2 linked regions of the Anolis sagrei genome follow. The protein of the gene in region 2 interacts with the protein of the main gene of each other region in a pairwise test. Links are inferred from orthologs where the notes say so. Each region holds a gene or a part of one and is shown on either strand. Other genes may lie near its edges.

Region 1 (8,723 bases), on a different chromosome or scaffold from region 2:
GAATAAAAATAATAATAATTGGTTTTAGCATGGAGATTGAATAATAATGATAATAGGTGTTTAGCATGGAGAATGAATAATAATGATAATGTGTTTGGCACATTATTATTATTATTATTATTATTATTATTATTGGAGGTTTTAGCATGGAATGATAATTATTATTGTAGGAGGTTTTTAGCATGGAATAATAATATGTAGATGATAATAATAATAATAGAAGCTTAACATGGAGAATAAATAATAATAATAATAATAATAATAATAATAATAATAATGTGTTTGTCATGCAGTTTGAATAATATGAGGTTTTTTAGCATGGAATAATAATAATAGGTCTTAGCATGGTGAAATAATAATAATAATAATAATAATAATAATAATAATGTGTTTGGCATGGAGTTTGAATAATAAGGGGTTTTTAACATGGAATAATAATAATAATAATAATAATAATAATAATAATAGGTTTTAGCATGGAGAATGAATAATAATGATAATGTGTTTGGCACATTATTATTATTATTATTATTATAGGTTTTTAGCATGGAATAATAATAATAATAGGTGTTTAGCATGAATAATAATAATAATAATAATAAAATAATAATAATAGAAACTTTGCATAGAGAATGAATAATAATAATAATGTGGCATGTAGTTTGAATAATAATAGGTTTTTAGCATGGAGAGAAAATAATAATAATAGGTCTTTGACATGGAGATTAATGATAATAATAATAATAATAATAATAATAATAATAGAAGGTGTTTAGCATGGAGAAATAATAATAATAATAATAATCATCATTATTATTATTATAATGGGCTGGGCTTTAGCACAGCGGGTTAAACTTCCAGCTGCAGAAAATCCTGCCGATTGCCAGGCCAACAATTCAAGCCTGGGTTGGGGTGAGCTCCCAAGTGTCAGCCCAGCTTCTGCTCACCTAGCAGTTCAAAAACAGCAATGTGAGTAGATAAATAGGTACCGCTTTGGCGGGGAGGTAATCAAAGGCGCCCATAAGGACATGCTGTCGATTCGTTTGCCGTATATGTGTACTGTAATCCGCCCTGAGTCCCCTCGGGGAGATAGGACTGAATATAAATAAAGTTGTTTATTATTATTATTATTATTATTATTATTATTATTATTATAGGAGGTGTTTGGCATGGAGACTGAATAATAATAAGAATAGTCTTTCTCTTTCCGTAGAGTATGGCAGCCGACAAAAGCCAGGAGTGGTTTGCAAAGCACAACATCCCTAAACCTTCTGCCTGAAAGGAAAAGCCATGTATGGCTGCTTGGAAATACATTCCAGTGGATGCCTTCCGCCTCGAATGCAAGCGCCATCTATTCGGCGTTGGTTCGAAGGCTTCAGAGTCCGGTGCCCTCCGTCTGGTGTTTGCCAAATCAATGTATTGCCTTGGGTTTCATTCTGGGTTTCTTTTCCTCCAAATAAATAATTTCCCGTGAAGAAGAAAATATTATTATTATTATTATTATTATTATTATTATTATTATTATTATTTAATTCTATGTTATATGATAATATATATTACACAAAAACTATTATTATTCTGTCTATATAAATAAAAATGTCATGTTTGTTTGTGGGATTAACAGAACTCCAAAACCACTGGACGAATTCACACAAAATTTTGACAGAATACACCTAACAGTCCAATGAGTGTTGATCACTCCTAAAAATACAAAAACCCTCAGCAGAACGGACTTAAAAACCCCCAAAAATACACCATATATATATATATATATATATATATATATATATATATATACACACACACACACACACACACATACACACACACACACATATATACACACACATATATATACACATACACTCATATACACATGCACACATACATACACAAACTTGTATATGTATATTATTTATATACACACAAGCACACAGAAATATACACACATACATCTCCATATACACATATATACATGCACACACAAATATACACATGCACACACATATACACAATATACACATATAAATGTACACACATATACACACATCTATGCACACACATATATACACCCACACATACCCCCCACATATATATATCTATATCTATCTATACACACACACACATATACACAGATACACAAATATATACACACATATAAACACATATATACAATATACACATCTACGCACACACATATATACACCCACACATACCCCTCCACACACATATCTTATCTGAATTTATCTATCCATCTATCTATCTATATACACACACAAATATACACATATACACAGATACACAAATATATGCACACCTATACACCTCCACACACATATCTATCTGTATTTATCTATCCGTCTATCTATCTATAATATACACACACAAACACGCATATATACACAGATACACAAATATACACACACATATATACACACACACAAAACACATATATACAGACTGGGCCACAGCAACGCATGGCAGGGGACGGCTAGTAATATATAAAGGAGTCTTTCAACTTCCTGGGTAAAAACCCCCTTCCGAATTTGGGGAGCTCTCAAAAAACAGACCGGGACCCCCATTGAAATCCGGGACGCCGAAACAGATTGCAGTTTGCCCGGATTGCACAAGCATCATCCTAGCCTCGTGTACCAGTTGAAAGACAAAACATTGGGGGACCCTCAGGTTGAGAACCACTGGCCTAGATCCATCCTAGCGCCCCACTGGTGGCCCCCGAGACGGGACGATGGGACTCGGGAGTCCCCTGAAGGAACACAGATAGACCAAGACACTCAAGGTTGCCTTCCTTTCTCAAAGAGTGGGGGGGTTTAATGTCCAGGAGCAGGAGAGGTGGGCTTCGCTCCTTGTCCCCCCTGGGCCCTTCCGCCTTCCTTCTGGGGCCAGACTACAAGGCCCATCATGCCCTCACTGGTGGCTCCAAGGGAGGGGCTTGCGCAGGCGGAGGCGGAGGCAGGCGGTGAGCAGGGCCCCCTCTTTGCGCCCCGAGCAGAGCGAGCGCCGGGAGATCAGGAGGGGGCCCGGGCGGAAGGGGCTGTCCCTGCAGGAAGAGGAGGAGGAGGAGGAATTATTAGTATTATAATATATTATATAATAAGTATATTGTCTTAGTATACTGCTATACTGTAATATATTATTATATATTATATAATTAGTATATTGTATTACATTTTAGTATATTATTAGCATAGCACAATATTAGTATTATATGTTTCTATATTAAACTATACCGCTATACTGTAATATATTAATATATTGTTAGTATATTGTATTACATTTTAGTATATTATTAGCATAGAACAATATTAGTATTATATGTTACTATATTAAACTATACTGCTATACTGTAATATATTATTATATATTATTAGTATATTGTATTACATTTTAGTATATTATCTTATTAGCATAGCACAATATTAGTATTATATGTTACTATACTAAACGATACCACTATACTGTAATATATTATTATATATTATTAGTATATTGTATTATATTTTAGTATATTATATTATTAGCATACCACAATATTAGTATTATATGTTACTATACTAAACGATACCACTATACTGTAATATATTATTATATTGTATTATTAGTATATTGTCTTACGTTTTAGTATATTATCTTATTAGCATAGCACAATATTAGTATTCTATGTTACTATATTAAACTACCACTATACTGTAATATATTATTATATTGTATTATTAGTATATTGTCTTACGATTTAGTATATTATCTTATTAGCATAGCACAATATTAGTATTCTATGTTACTATATTAAACTATATATATTCAGTTAGAATTGATAACAGGAGCCCCCATGGTGCAGTGGGTTAAACCCTTGTGCTGACAGGACTGAGGACTGTAATATATTATTATATATTATATAATTAGTATACTGTATTACATTATATTATTAGCATAGCACAATATTAGTGTTATATGTTACTATATTAAACTATACTGCTATGCTGTAATATATTATTGTATTGTATTATTTATTGTATTACATTTTAGTAAATTATATTATTATCATACCACAATATTAGTATTATATGTTACTATATTAAACAATTCCACTGTACTGTAATATTATTAGAAATATTGCATGTAATATATAATATACAATTATTATAGCATTATAGTGTACTATATTATTATGCCACAACATGTAAAATACACTACCAGTATATTATACTGAACATTATTGTCATTCTTCTCATTATGATTGTATTAATATAATTATTATAATAATAGAAGAATCCCTGCTGGGATCGGAATATTTGATAGAATAATAATAATAGTAGTAGTAATAATAATAATAATAATAATATAAAATGATTCCTGCTGAGACTATGAATATTTTTAATAATAATAATAGAAGAATCCCTGCTGGGATCAAGAATATTTGATATAATAATATATATAGAAACAACAATTGATTTAATAATGTAATACAAAATAATAATAATATAACAATTCATATTATAATAATAATGCAATAATATATATTTAATAACAATGGATATAAAATAATAACAATGTAATATAAAATAATAATATAATAATTGGTATTATAATACTGCAATATAAAATAATATATACCAATAATAATAATAGTAGTAGAACAATACCCTATTATATCTTAATATAATAAAATAATTTGTTTTATTATATTATCATCAAATATAATATATATAATTTATAATAGAGTATAATATATTAATATAAGAATACATATATGAGTATAATATTATAAGAGTATAATATAAGTATAATATATGTATAATATATATTATAATATATTAATATAAGAATATATATTAATGTAATATAATTACCAATTATATTATATTAATATAATTAATATAATTATATTAATAATATTATATTATTAATATAATATAATATATATTATAAGAGTATAATATATTAATATAAGAATATATATTAATGTTATATAATTACTAATTATAGTATAATATAATTAATATTATATTATTAATATAATATAAGTATAATATGTATTATAAGAGTATAATATATTAATATAAGAATATATATTCAAACAATATAATTACTAATATTATCATCATATATTATAATATATAATTTATAATATATAAAATATATTAATATAAGAATCTAATAATAACGATAGTAATGATCATAGAGTAGGCCGACCATGCAGTGTAGGCCGGAAGGGGCGTGGCGTTGTCCGGGCGGGGGGCGGTGTCTCGGAGGAGGCGGCAGAGGAAGCTCTTCCGGCGGAACTTGGCTTTGCGGAACCCCGTCTCGGCGCCGGAAGAAGGGCAAGAAGGGGAGCGGGAAGAGGGCGGAAGTGTGGCGTCAGGCGGAGCCGCGCGCTTTCCACTGCAGCCGCCAGGGGACAAAAAGGTCTCTCCCATCCGGGGCTTTTGTGCCGCGCGGGCTGAGCGCACAATGCCCGCCTCTTCCTCCTCCCCTGCCACACTTCCGCTTCCGGCCCGGAAGAGGGGGAAGGAGAGAGGCAGCCATGCAGCTCGGTGGGTGGGAGATGTAGTTCGCCAAGGGCCACAGAAATATTTCATTTTCTATTTATTTTATTTTTGCTTTTCTACTACTTTTTTCATTTTCATGCCCAGTAATTTTATTTTCTATTATTTATGTCCTTTTTTTCCATTCATAGTTTCCTATTTGTATTTAATTTTTTATTTACTATTTTCTACTTATTTTCTTCTACTTACTTTTTTATTATTACTAATTATTTTATTATTATGTTTCCTGTCTCTTGGTTTATTTTCCATTATTTGTTTGTCATTCTGTATTTCCTACTTTTTTCTATTATTTATTATTTTATCAATTTTTGTTTAATTATTTTTTATTTATGTTTTCTAATTTAGGATCAGCTTTTTCTTTTTCTATTTATTATTACTATTATTATTCTTTTATATTTTCTAATTTTCCTTTTCTATTTATTATTATTATATATTTATGTTTTCTATTTTTCTATTTATGATCACTTTTTCCTTTTCTATTTATTATTATTATTCATTTATTCATGTTTTCTAAATTTCTATTTATGATCACTTTTTCCCCTTTCTATTTATTATTATTCATTTATTTATTTATATTTTCTAATTTTCTATTTTTTCTTTTCTATTTATTATTATTATTTATGTTTTCTATTTTTTATTTATGATCACTTTTTTCCTTTATTATTATTCATTGATTTATTTATATTTTCTAATTTTCTATTTTTTCTTTTCTATTTATTATTATTCGTTTATGTTTTCTATTTTTCTATTTATGATCACTTTTTTCCTTTTCTATTTATTATTATTCATTGATTTATATTTTCTAATTTTTCTTTTCTATTTATTATTATTAATTGATTTATATTTTATAATTTTCTATTTTTGTTTTCTATTTATTATTTTTATTATTTATTTATGTTTTCTAATGTTTTATTTATGATGACTTTTTCCCTTTTCTATTTATTATTATTATTATTATTATTATTATGTTTCTATTTTTCTTTCAGGTGTTTTTTTACCCTCCTGAGATTATTTTGGGGAGTTTTTTTTTAAGTGTTTGAACAGATTTTGGAATTTAATTCTATTTTTTGACATTTATAGGTTGTTGGTCACTATTTTTAAATAAAATGTTGTCATCTTCATGGCATTGAGAGTAATGCTGTGAGTCTCAGTCCAGAGATAAATAAATTGGATATGACTACTACTACTACTATTGGGTTTCTGTGAGTTTTCCAGGCTGTCTCCCATAGATGTGGATGAAATGCCAGGAGAGAATGCTTCTGGAACATGGCCAGACAGCCCAAAAAACTCACAGCAACCCAGTGATTCTGGCCATGAAAGCCTTCGACCAAACATCATTATCAGTCTTTGTATTAGCAATAATAATTGTAAGTAATAATATTGAGGAAAGCTGTCAAGAGATTAAAAAGGATATAATAATTCATAAAATAATAATACAGAAACATAAATATGTATTATATATCATGTAGTGTGTGTATATACACATATATACAATTTAGTTTGCCATGATATGAAAGGATTATCATCCACAATTTTCTATATTATATATTTATAAATTTTATGGTATTCATATATATATATATATATGTATATATGTATATATGTTTATATATATATATAAACATAATTTATAAATATATAGTAGACATCTCCGGGCTGAGGGTTGAGTAGCCCATCCTTCCCTTGAACAGAACGGTCTGTCTCTGTCCCAACAGGGCCGCTGACCATCTGCGGAGAAGTGACCGTCCTGCACGGCGGGTTCCTGCTGGCCTCCCAGCTGTGCCACCCCCGGCCGTTGTCCGAGCTGGCCAAGTCCGACTGGCCCGTGGTGGGGAAGCCCATCCTGGAGGCGCTGGAAGAGATCTGCACCTCCCACTCGTCGTACCCGCCGCAGCCGGACGCCTGGAAGAAGAAAGCGGCGGTCATCCTGTGGTCCAAGGTGCTCTTCTCCGAGGCCCCGGCGGTGTCCCTGAACCAGCGGTGGAAGGACGACGCCTTCTTCTCCGTCAGCAGCATGATCCCGGAGGTCAACCGCACGGTGCTCTTTGAGCTCTTCATGGCGGCCAACGCGCCCCGGCTTTTCACCGAACTTCTCCTGGTTCTTCCGGAGCCGCTTTGCCGGCGGGAACTGGAGGCGCTGGTGGCGTACGTGGCCAAGGAGACCTCTCCGCGCGACGTCCGCTTCTACTTAGACGTGTGGTGGGAGATCATGAAGCACAAGGCCGGCCAGGAAGACCGTCTGACCTTGCTCTTCCGCAACGTCTCCCGGCAGTGTCTCCCGGAGCCGGACGACACAGGTCAGGCCCCGAAGCGCTTCAAGAGCGACGCCCCTCCCTCGACGCATCCCCCCCTCGAGACGAACGTCCTTCCCATCTTAACGGAGGGTTTGAAGCTGATCCAGGGGAGCGTCTGCCCGGCGAAGATGAAGTGTTACGCTCTTGCCAACCTCGTGGACCTTGTGTCCATGTCGCTGGCGGCGTGCGACGCGGAGTCAGTGCCCATCAAGACGTACTTGGTGAAGGTCTCTTCAGTGGTGACGCTTTGGTGCAGCGACTGCGACAACCGCTATAGCAAATCGGAGCTGGACGAGAAGGTGAAGGAGGCTGAGCGGAGCGTGAGTTTGCTCAGCGTGGCTCAGACGTCCAAAGCGTTCTTGCTCATAGATTTGGCTTTTCTCCACGCTTTGTTGGAAGAGTGGTCTACGGAGCTTCAGGATTTCCTCAACGATCCGGAACAGGTCTGCTACGAAAGCTACCGGCTCCTCGATTGCTTGGCGTCGTTGCAGAAGCGGCTGGCGAGGTATGCCGAGTCGGGGGGCGACTTGGAGGACGAGACGGCCAAGGCCGTGGCGCGCCTCTCCGAGCTCGTGGCGGACTTCTTGAAGAGCGTCAGCCTCAAGCCATGCAACAATGAGGCCAAAAAGGACGTTGTGGCCTCTGTGGCCATGGTCATAATCGACAAGCGGATGGACCGCCACGAGGAGGTGTGCTCCGTATTCGCGGCAGAGAAGGACTGGGCGCTCACCGAGGAATGGGCCGACTGCCTTGTCAAGAACAAGGAGCTCTTCCGGGATCCCGGGACCGTCCTCAAATTGGCACAGACTTTGGCCAACAGCAGTCAAGACGCCCAAAGCCAGGGGCAGGCCGCCCGCGTGGCCAA
Region 2 (8,240 bases):
TTGCAATAGCCAAGCTACAGAAATGCTTACAATGTGATTATTCTACCCGCAGAAATAACTTTTACAGTTACCATCATCATCACTCCAATCACAACAGAATCAAGCCACAAACTGGACACATATTTGAGTATTGACCACAATCAATACTCAACCCCAACATTTTCACAGAAAGTTCCCCCAAACTCCGTACATGTGAATCAACATGTTGCCTGAGTAGGGGGAAAAAAATAAAAACCCATGCACACATACAGAGGGTGCATCTACACTGTAGAATTAATGCATTTTGAAACCACTTTGACTACCACAGCTCAATGCTATGGAATCATGAGAGACGCAGTTTGGTGAGACGCCAGTCCTCTTTGCAGAGAAGGCCAAAGATCTTGAAAAACTATGCCTTGCATGATTTTAAGCTGTAGGAGCATAAGCAGCTGAGAGGGGAAAGGAAGGGGCCTGAGGCTGTTAGGAATTCTAGGAGTTGAAGTCCAAAACATCTGGAAGGCTGAAGTTTGCCCATGCCTGGTGTAGATGCACTCGGGAAGAGGAATCAAAGCATAATTGCAGCAATTTGCTGAAGCACATGGCGGGAAAGGTACTCCAAACCCCTCTCCAAATCCCCAGCCTTCCACTGAGTCAAAGCAAGCAAGGGTGCATCTACACTGTTGAACAGATGTACTTTTAACTGCCATGCCCCAAAGCTATGGAATCCGGAGAGCTGTAGTTTGGTGATGCTCGCATCCTCTTTGTCTTGTAAAACTACAACTCACAGGATGCCACAGTGTTAACAAATAAGAAAATACACAAAAAAGTATAGAAACAAAACTTCCAATTCTGGAATATACTAAAACTATCAAATATTAGAAGAATTAGGCAGTTTAAGTGGTGTCAAAGTGCATTCATTCTACAGTGTAGCTACACCCAAGGAGAGGGCTCAAAGCAGGAATGGCAGCCTTGGGAGAAAGTGCCTCTCTGAAGCAGTCAAGCAACCAAGAGTGTGTCTACACTGAGACAAGGCAGTTCAAGTGGTGCCAAACTATACTGCATAAATTCTACAAGGTGCACCCAAGACAAGATGCACCCAGGACCTTTCCACAGAGCCCTATATCCCAGAATATCAAGACAGAAAATCCCACAATATCTGCTTTGAACTGGGTAATCGGAGTCCACACTGCCATATATTCTTGACTATGTTATTGCTGTGCGTTTCGACGCTTGTTTTATATTTTGTATTGTTTTAAATTGCTGTTGATGCACTCTAATGTGCTATGTTTTAACTCTGTTATCTGGGCTTGGCCCTATGTAACCCACCCCAGGTTCCTTCAAGGAGATGGAGGCAGGGTATAAAAATACAGTAGTAGTAGTAGTAGTAGTAGTAGTAGTAGTTATTCTTATTATTCTTATTATAAAGCAGTTCAAAGCAGATAATGTGTGATTTTATTCAGCTGTGTGGAAGAGGCCCCAGACTCGGTCGGAAACCCAAAGTCATCCCCGGGAAGCCCCTAAAGCCAAAGAAGCTGCCTAAGGGCACCTGTTCGCTCATAGGTGCCAAGCCAGGCCCCTAGAGTCCATCTTGCAAGCTCTGCTGAGGCTCACTTACTTTTCGCAATGGCAACTCCGTGTGAAAGCAACCCCTAAGTTAGATCCATGGGGAGCCAGCCGGAGAGGTCGGCCTTGCCTTAAAATGCCGCAGGGCTCATTGAGAGAAGATTCCCTTTGCCAATCCTTGCTGCTGGGTTGCCAAGGGCGTCTTCTTCTTCTGGAGCAGAAAGCAATCCTGTTGCGCCCCAAAAGCCCTCTCTTTCCCAAGGGCAAACATTCAAGGAAAGAAGGCGATTGAGTTGCCTCTAGCCCTCCCTTGTTCAAGAAGAGAGGCGGCGTCCATGCGCTTCAGATCCAAGGGGGTGAAAAAGGAAGCCTTCTTTGGCTACCAGGTGGAAAAGCAAAAGGAGAGCTGGATTGAGCTTGCAAAGTGCTCTCTGGCTCAAACTCCTCCGGCATCCACACCAATGGGAGACTGTAAACAACAGCCAGGGGAGGAAGGAAAAGGGGGGCTTCTTGTGGAAAGCTGCTTGGTCTCCTTTCTCTCTTGGTCTCCTTTCTCTCTCTCTCTTTCTGCACTTCCCTTCCTTCTTTTTTGCTTTCCTTCCAAGGCGCGTGGGGCGCCTCGCTTCCTCGACTTTCCAAGCTCCTTTTTCTTGCTTCACCGCATGGTCCCTTCGAGCTGGAGCCAGACAAAGTGCCCAAGCGATGCCTGCTGGAAGTTGAAGGGGGGAGGGAGAAGAAAGAGATCAGTAAAGAGAGCAATGGACAGGTAGAAGTCACCCTTCCATACAAAAAATATATATCCAATGACTTTGTGGCAAAGCTGCCATGTGCTTTGGAGAGGGGGACGGCTTGCTTGACAGCCTTGTGGCACCCATTGGGGATTTTGGATGGGCACCCAATGGGGATTTTGGATAGGCACCCAATGGGGATTTTGGATGGGCACCCAATGGGGATTTTGGATGGGCACCCAATGGGGATTTTGGATGGGCACCCAATGGGGATTTTGGATAGGCACCCAATGGGGATTTTGGACAGGCACCCATTTTGATTTTGGATATCTGTTCTGGAAAAGGGGGGAAACCCAGACGGTGCAAACTCTGAGCAAGGCAGAAACAGAGAGATAGCACAGACATATCACTTGGGGAGGGGGAGGTCCCAGTTAGAGCAGTGGGGGCAAAGAAAGGTCCCAGTTCGAGCACATATGAGCAAACTTGGGCCTTCCAGGTGTGTTGGACTCCAACTCCCACCATTCCTAACAGCCTCAGGCCCTTTCCTTTTCCCCCTCAGCCGCTTAAGCCTGAGGCTGTTAGGAATGGTAGGAGTTGGAGTCCAACACACCTGGAAGGCCCAAGTTTGCACACACCTACTTTAGAGCCTTGTAGTAGGGAAGGTTGAGCAAGAAGTTCCCCAAGTTTAGCCTCATTTCTGGGTTTCCCCAAGGAAACATTGAGACTTCTTTGGACCTCCCCAATTTTGAGACTTCTTAAGACCCTCTCCTGGAAGCATTCAAGCCAGAAGCTCCCAATCTTGAGCCCTGTACTGGGTGGGTTCCCTAAAGCAACCCTCCCAACCTCTTAGGCTTTGTTTAGACCTAGGCTTGGAGACTGCAGAAAGGTGAAGGTCCCCGCCAAGCGCCCCCCAATCCGAACAATAAGGCTGCTGCTCCTGCTGCTGCTGCTGCTGCGTGGAGTCTCTTTCGGGAAAGGCTCCGCCTTGGCTGCACGCTGCAAGGCTTTGGGGCTCGGCAGCCTGGGCTCGGGCAGCACCTGAGCTCCTTCCCCGAGCGGATTACCGATTGCAAAGGTGTTTCCTCCCCGAGGCGCATCCACAGCAAGCTAAATCCAAGGCGGAGAGGCACCGAGGGCAGGTCCGGTGGCGGCGATCAAGCCTTGCGAGCGGCGCTGTCCTTTTGCGTGGCTCTGTTCAGAATGAGCTCAACTCGGCACGGGAACCTTTCAGCGCCGAGCCCCCCTTTCGCCCCCTTGGTCCCGCCCCCAATGATGTCAATCTGTCACTCAGGAGGGCGGCCCGGAAAACCCGGCCTGGACTCTCCCTTGCCCGCCTCCTTCCAGTGCACACAAGAAGCGCGCGCTTCCTCGCGCTCATTCATGCCAAGGTTTGCTTACCATTCATCAGGATTTCTTCATCGCACCAGAGAAGAAGGAGAAGGAGGAGGAGGAGGAGAGAAGTAGAAGGAGAAGAAGGAAAAGAATTGGACACAATATCAAGATTTCTTCATCTCACAAGAAGAAGGAGGAGGAGGAGATAAGAAGAGAAGGAGAAGGAGAAGAAGAGGACACAATATCAGGATTTCTTCATCTCACCAGAAGAGAAGGAGGAGGAGGAGAGAAGGAGGAGGAGAAGAAGAAGAGGAAGAAGAAGAAGAAGAAGAAAAGAAGAACTGGACACAATATCAAGATTTCTTCATCTCACCAGAAGAAGGAGGAGGTGAAGAGAAGGAGGAGAAGAAGAAGAGGACACAATATCAGGATTTCTTCATCTCACCAGGAGAAGGAGGAGGAGGTGACAAGAAGAAGAGAAGAGGAAGGAGAAGGAGAAGGAGAAGAATTATTTGGCACAATATCAGGATTTCTTCATCTCACTAGAAGGAGGAGGAGGAGGAGGAGAGAAAAAGAGAAGGAGAGTAGTAGTAGTAGTAGTAGTAGTAGTAGTAGTAGTAGTGGACACAATATCAGGATGTCTTCATCTCACCAGAAGGAGGAGGAGGAGAAGAGGAGGAGGAGGAGGAGGAGGAGGAGAAGAAGAAGAATTGGACATAATATCAGGATTTCTTCATCTCACCAGAAGAAGGAGGAGGATGAGGAGAGAAGAAGAGGAGGAGAAGAAGGAAAAGAATTGGACACAATATCAGGATTTCTTCATCTCACCAGAAGAAGGAGGAGAAGATAAGAAGAGAAGGAGAAGAAGAGGACACAATATCAGGATTTCTTCATCTCACCAGAAGAAGGAGGAGGAGGTGACAAGAAAAAGAGAAGAGGAAGGAGAAGAATTATTGGGTACAATATCAGGATTTCTTCATCTCACCAGAAGAAGGAGGAGGAGGAGGAGAGAAGAAGAAGAGGAGGAGGAGGAGGAGGAGGAGGAGGAGGAAGAGAAGGAGGAGGAGGAGGAGGAGGAGGAGGAAGAAGAGGAGGAGGAGGGAAGAAGTAGAAGGAGAAGAAGAAGAAGAATTGGACACAATATCAAGATTTCTTCATCTCACCAGAAGGAGGAGGAGAAGAGAAGAAGAGAAGGAGGAGAAGAAGAGGACACAATATCAGGATTTCTTCATCTCACCAGAAGAATCAGGAGGAGGTGAGAAGAAGAAGAGAAGAGGAAGGGGAAGAATTATTGGGCACAATATCAGGATTTTTTCATCTCACCAGTAGAAAGAGGAGGAGGAGGAGAGAAGAAGAAAAGGAGGAGAAGGAGAAGAAGTAGTATTGGACACAATATCAGGATTTCTTAATCTCACCAGAAGAAGGAGGAGGAAGAGAAGAGAAGAAGAAGAAGAAGAAGAAGAAGAATTGGACACAATATTAGTATTTCTTCATCTCATCAGGAGGAGGAGGAAGGGAAGGAGAGAAGAAGAAGAGAAGAAGAAGAAGAAGAAGAGGAAGAAGAAGAAGAATTGGACACAATATCAGGATTTCTTCATCGCACCATATTGTGTCCAATTCTGGGCACCACAATTGAAGAGAGATATTGACAAGTTGGAATGTGTCCAGAGGAGGGCGACTAAAAAGATGAAGGGTCTGGAGAACAAGCCCTATTAGGAGCGGCTTAAAGAGCTGGGCATGTTTAGCCTGAAGAAGAGAAGGCTGTTGAAAATGTCCACATGCTTATGAATTTCAATGGCTTCTCTGTGTAGTCTGGCATGGTGGTTTTTAGAGTGGTCCAGCATTTCTGTGTTTTCAAGTAATATGTTGTGTCCAGGTTTGTTCTTTCACACTTGTCTCAAATGGACAAGAGTTATTTCTCCCACCCTGGACACTCCATAGATATATAAACCACTCTTGCTGAGTTTCCAACAGACCTCACAACCTCTGAAGATGCTTGCCATAGATGTGAGTGAAACATCAGGAGAGGATGCTTCTGGAACATGGCCATATAGCCTGGAAAACTCACAGCAACCTGGTGTATTCCTTGTTTCGATTATTTAGACACTGAAAGCTTTAAAGTGCCTATCCAAGAGTGACACATGACACCTTGAGGACTCTGATGCCTTCCCTGAGAGGACAATGAGCACTGAAAAAGAGGATGGATATTGTGTCGTCGAAGGATGGATATTTCTCCACTTTCAAAGTGCATGAATGCAGTTTGACACCACTTTAACTGCCATGGCTCAATGTTATGGGACCCGGGAGTTATAGTTTGACGAGGTACCAGCACTCTTTGGTAGAGGTGGCTAAGCACCTTTGCAGAACTGCAACTCCATTAATCCATTTCACACAGAGAGGGAAGTTAAAGTGGTGCCAAACTGCATTAATTCTACAATGTAGATGTACTATCGGTGTTGGGCTGTAACGGGAAGTGTATCCAACAATGCATATTAGTTTTTCTAGAGATTTGTGGTTTTAAAAGGACTGCCAAATAGTACTGCCAAATAGTACTGGTGCCTAATCAATGGGTTTAGATTGACGGTGCAATTGGTTTAACCCCTGTGTCAGCAGGACAGCTGACCGAAAGGTCGGCAGTTCAGATCTGGAGAGTGGGGTGAGCTCCCATCTGTCAGCTCCACCTTCTCATGCAGGGACATGAGAGAGTCCCCTGCGCAACGTCTCTGCAGGCAGCCAATTCTCTCACACCAGAAGTGACTTGCAGTTTCTCAAGTCTCTCCTGATGCACACACACAAAATCAAATTACATTTCCTAGGATTCCCTAGCATTGAGCCAATGCAGTGAAAGTGGGGTCAAACTACATTAATTTTCCAGCATAGATGCATCCTAGGATCAGGTTATCTGGAAAACTGATTTTACACCCACACAATCCTTAGAAAAACTATTCCACAGCCAAAGTGCCGTAAGTGTGAAAACCCTTTGCCTAATTCTCACCTGCCTCTTTTCATATCCAACCCACATAGAGGAGAGAGCCTTTGAAGAGATTCCTAAATATTAAGATAGGTAAATGTGGTGGAAATCGGTTTTCCAGATAACCTGATCCCGATCTGTTCAAGGGATTGCCAGCACTTTCAACTGGAGCCCAAAATGTGAGCCACTGCAGCTGACAAAATAAAGGCATCATATGGTTGCAGTGTCCAGCCAATAATCTTGCCGTCTTATTCTGAATCAACTGGAGCTTCTGGGGCATTCATTTGAAAAGCAAAACCACATGCAATGCATTGTAGTAGTCCAGATGGGATGTTACTTATCCGTAGTAATGTGTAGTCTGATCCTCTGAGTCCTAAATGTATTCAGAAGTCTTTAGTGCAACGTTTCTCTACCTTCCTAATACCGCGACCCCTTAATATAATTCCTCATGTTGTGGTGACCCCCAACAATAAAATTATTTTTGTTGCTACTTCATAACTGTATACTTTGCTACTGTTATGAATCGTAATGTAAATATCTGATATGCAGGATGTATTTTTATTCACTGGACCAAATTTGGCACAAATACCCGAAACGCTCAAATTTGAATACTGGTGGGGTTGGGGGGGGGGATTGATTTTGTCAGTTGTAGTTGCTAGGATTTATAGTTCACCTACAATCAAAAGCATTCTGAACTCCACCAACGATGGAATTGAACCAAACTTGGCACATGGAACTCCCATGACCAACAGAAAATACTGTGGACTCAAACAATGATGGATCTGGACTAAACTTGACAGGAATACTAAATATGCCCTAATGTGAACATTGGTGAAGTTTGGGGAAAATAGGCCTTGACATTTGGGAGTTGTAGTTGCTGGGATTTATGATTCACTTACAATCAAAATGCATTCTGAACCCCAGCAATGATAGAATTGGGCCATACTTGGTACTTGGAACTCCCCCTGACCAACAGAAAATACTGGAAGGATTTGGTGGGCATTGACCTTGAGTTCTGGAGTTGTAGTTCACCTACATCCAGGGAGAACTGTGGACTCAAACAATGATGGATCTGGACCAAGCTTGGCACGGATACTCAATATATGTGAACATTGGTGGAGTTTGGGGAAAATAGACCTTGACATTTGGGAGTTGTAGGTGCTGGAATTTATAGTTCACCTATGATCAAAGAGCATTGTGAACTCCACCAATGATAGAATTGGGCCAAACTTCCCACACAAAACCCCCATGACCAATAAAAAATACTGTATTTTCTGATGGTCTTTGGTGACCCCTCTGACACCTCCTCGTGACCCCACAAGGGGTCCCAATCCCCGGGTTGAGAATCACTGCTTTAGTGAATTATTTTGGTGGTACCAATTCTTACAGATGAGATGGCCTTTTTTAACATGATCTACCTTTGATGGCATAGCAGGCTAAACTGCTAAGCTGCAGAACTTGATGACCAGAATCCGCAGGATGGGGTGAGCTCCCATTGTTAGACCCAGCTTCTGCTAACCTAGCTGTTTGAAAACATATAAATGTTAGTAGATCAGTAGGTATCACTTCTGCGGGAAGGTAACAGCGCTCCATTCAGTCATGCTGGTCACATGACCTTAGAGGTGTCTACGGACAACGCCGGCTCTTCGTCTTAGAAATGGAGATGA

What was found.
Region 1: the proteins of SPRY1 (region 2) and GEMIN4 interact in binary tests that used the Homo sapiens proteins (3 or more experiments, as listed by UniProt). The link is inferred for Anolis sagrei from reciprocal best matches to the Homo sapiens genes SPRY1 and GEMIN4.

The regions. Positions count from the first base shown.
Region 1 is NC_090031.1:35,279,388-35,288,110, reverse strand, and holds the start of GEMIN4 (gem-associated protein 4), read left to right. Parts: upstream 1-5,460; 5' UTR 5,461-5,542; coding exon 5,543-5,552; intron 5,553-7,279; coding exon 7,280-8,723. Other genes in the region: GLOD4 (glyoxalase domain-containing protein 4), read left to right, coding at 1,214-1,279. UniProt on the Homo sapiens protein: The SMN complex catalyzes the assembly of small nuclear ribonucleoproteins (snRNPs), the building blocks of the spliceosome, and thereby plays an important role in the splicing of cellular pre-mRNAs.
Region 2 is NC_090025.1:37,236,796-37,245,035, reverse strand, and holds the start of SPRY1 (protein sprouty homolog 1), read right to left. Parts: upstream 3,512-8,240; 5' UTR 3,335-3,511; intron 2,252-3,334; exon of another isoform or gene 2,249-2,251; 5' UTR 1,595-2,248; intron 1-1,594. UniProt on the Homo sapiens protein: Inhibits fibroblast growth factor (FGF)-induced retinal lens fiber differentiation, probably by inhibiting FGF-mediated phosphorylation of ERK1/2. Inhibits TGFB-induced epithelial-to-mesenchymal transition in lens epithelial cells.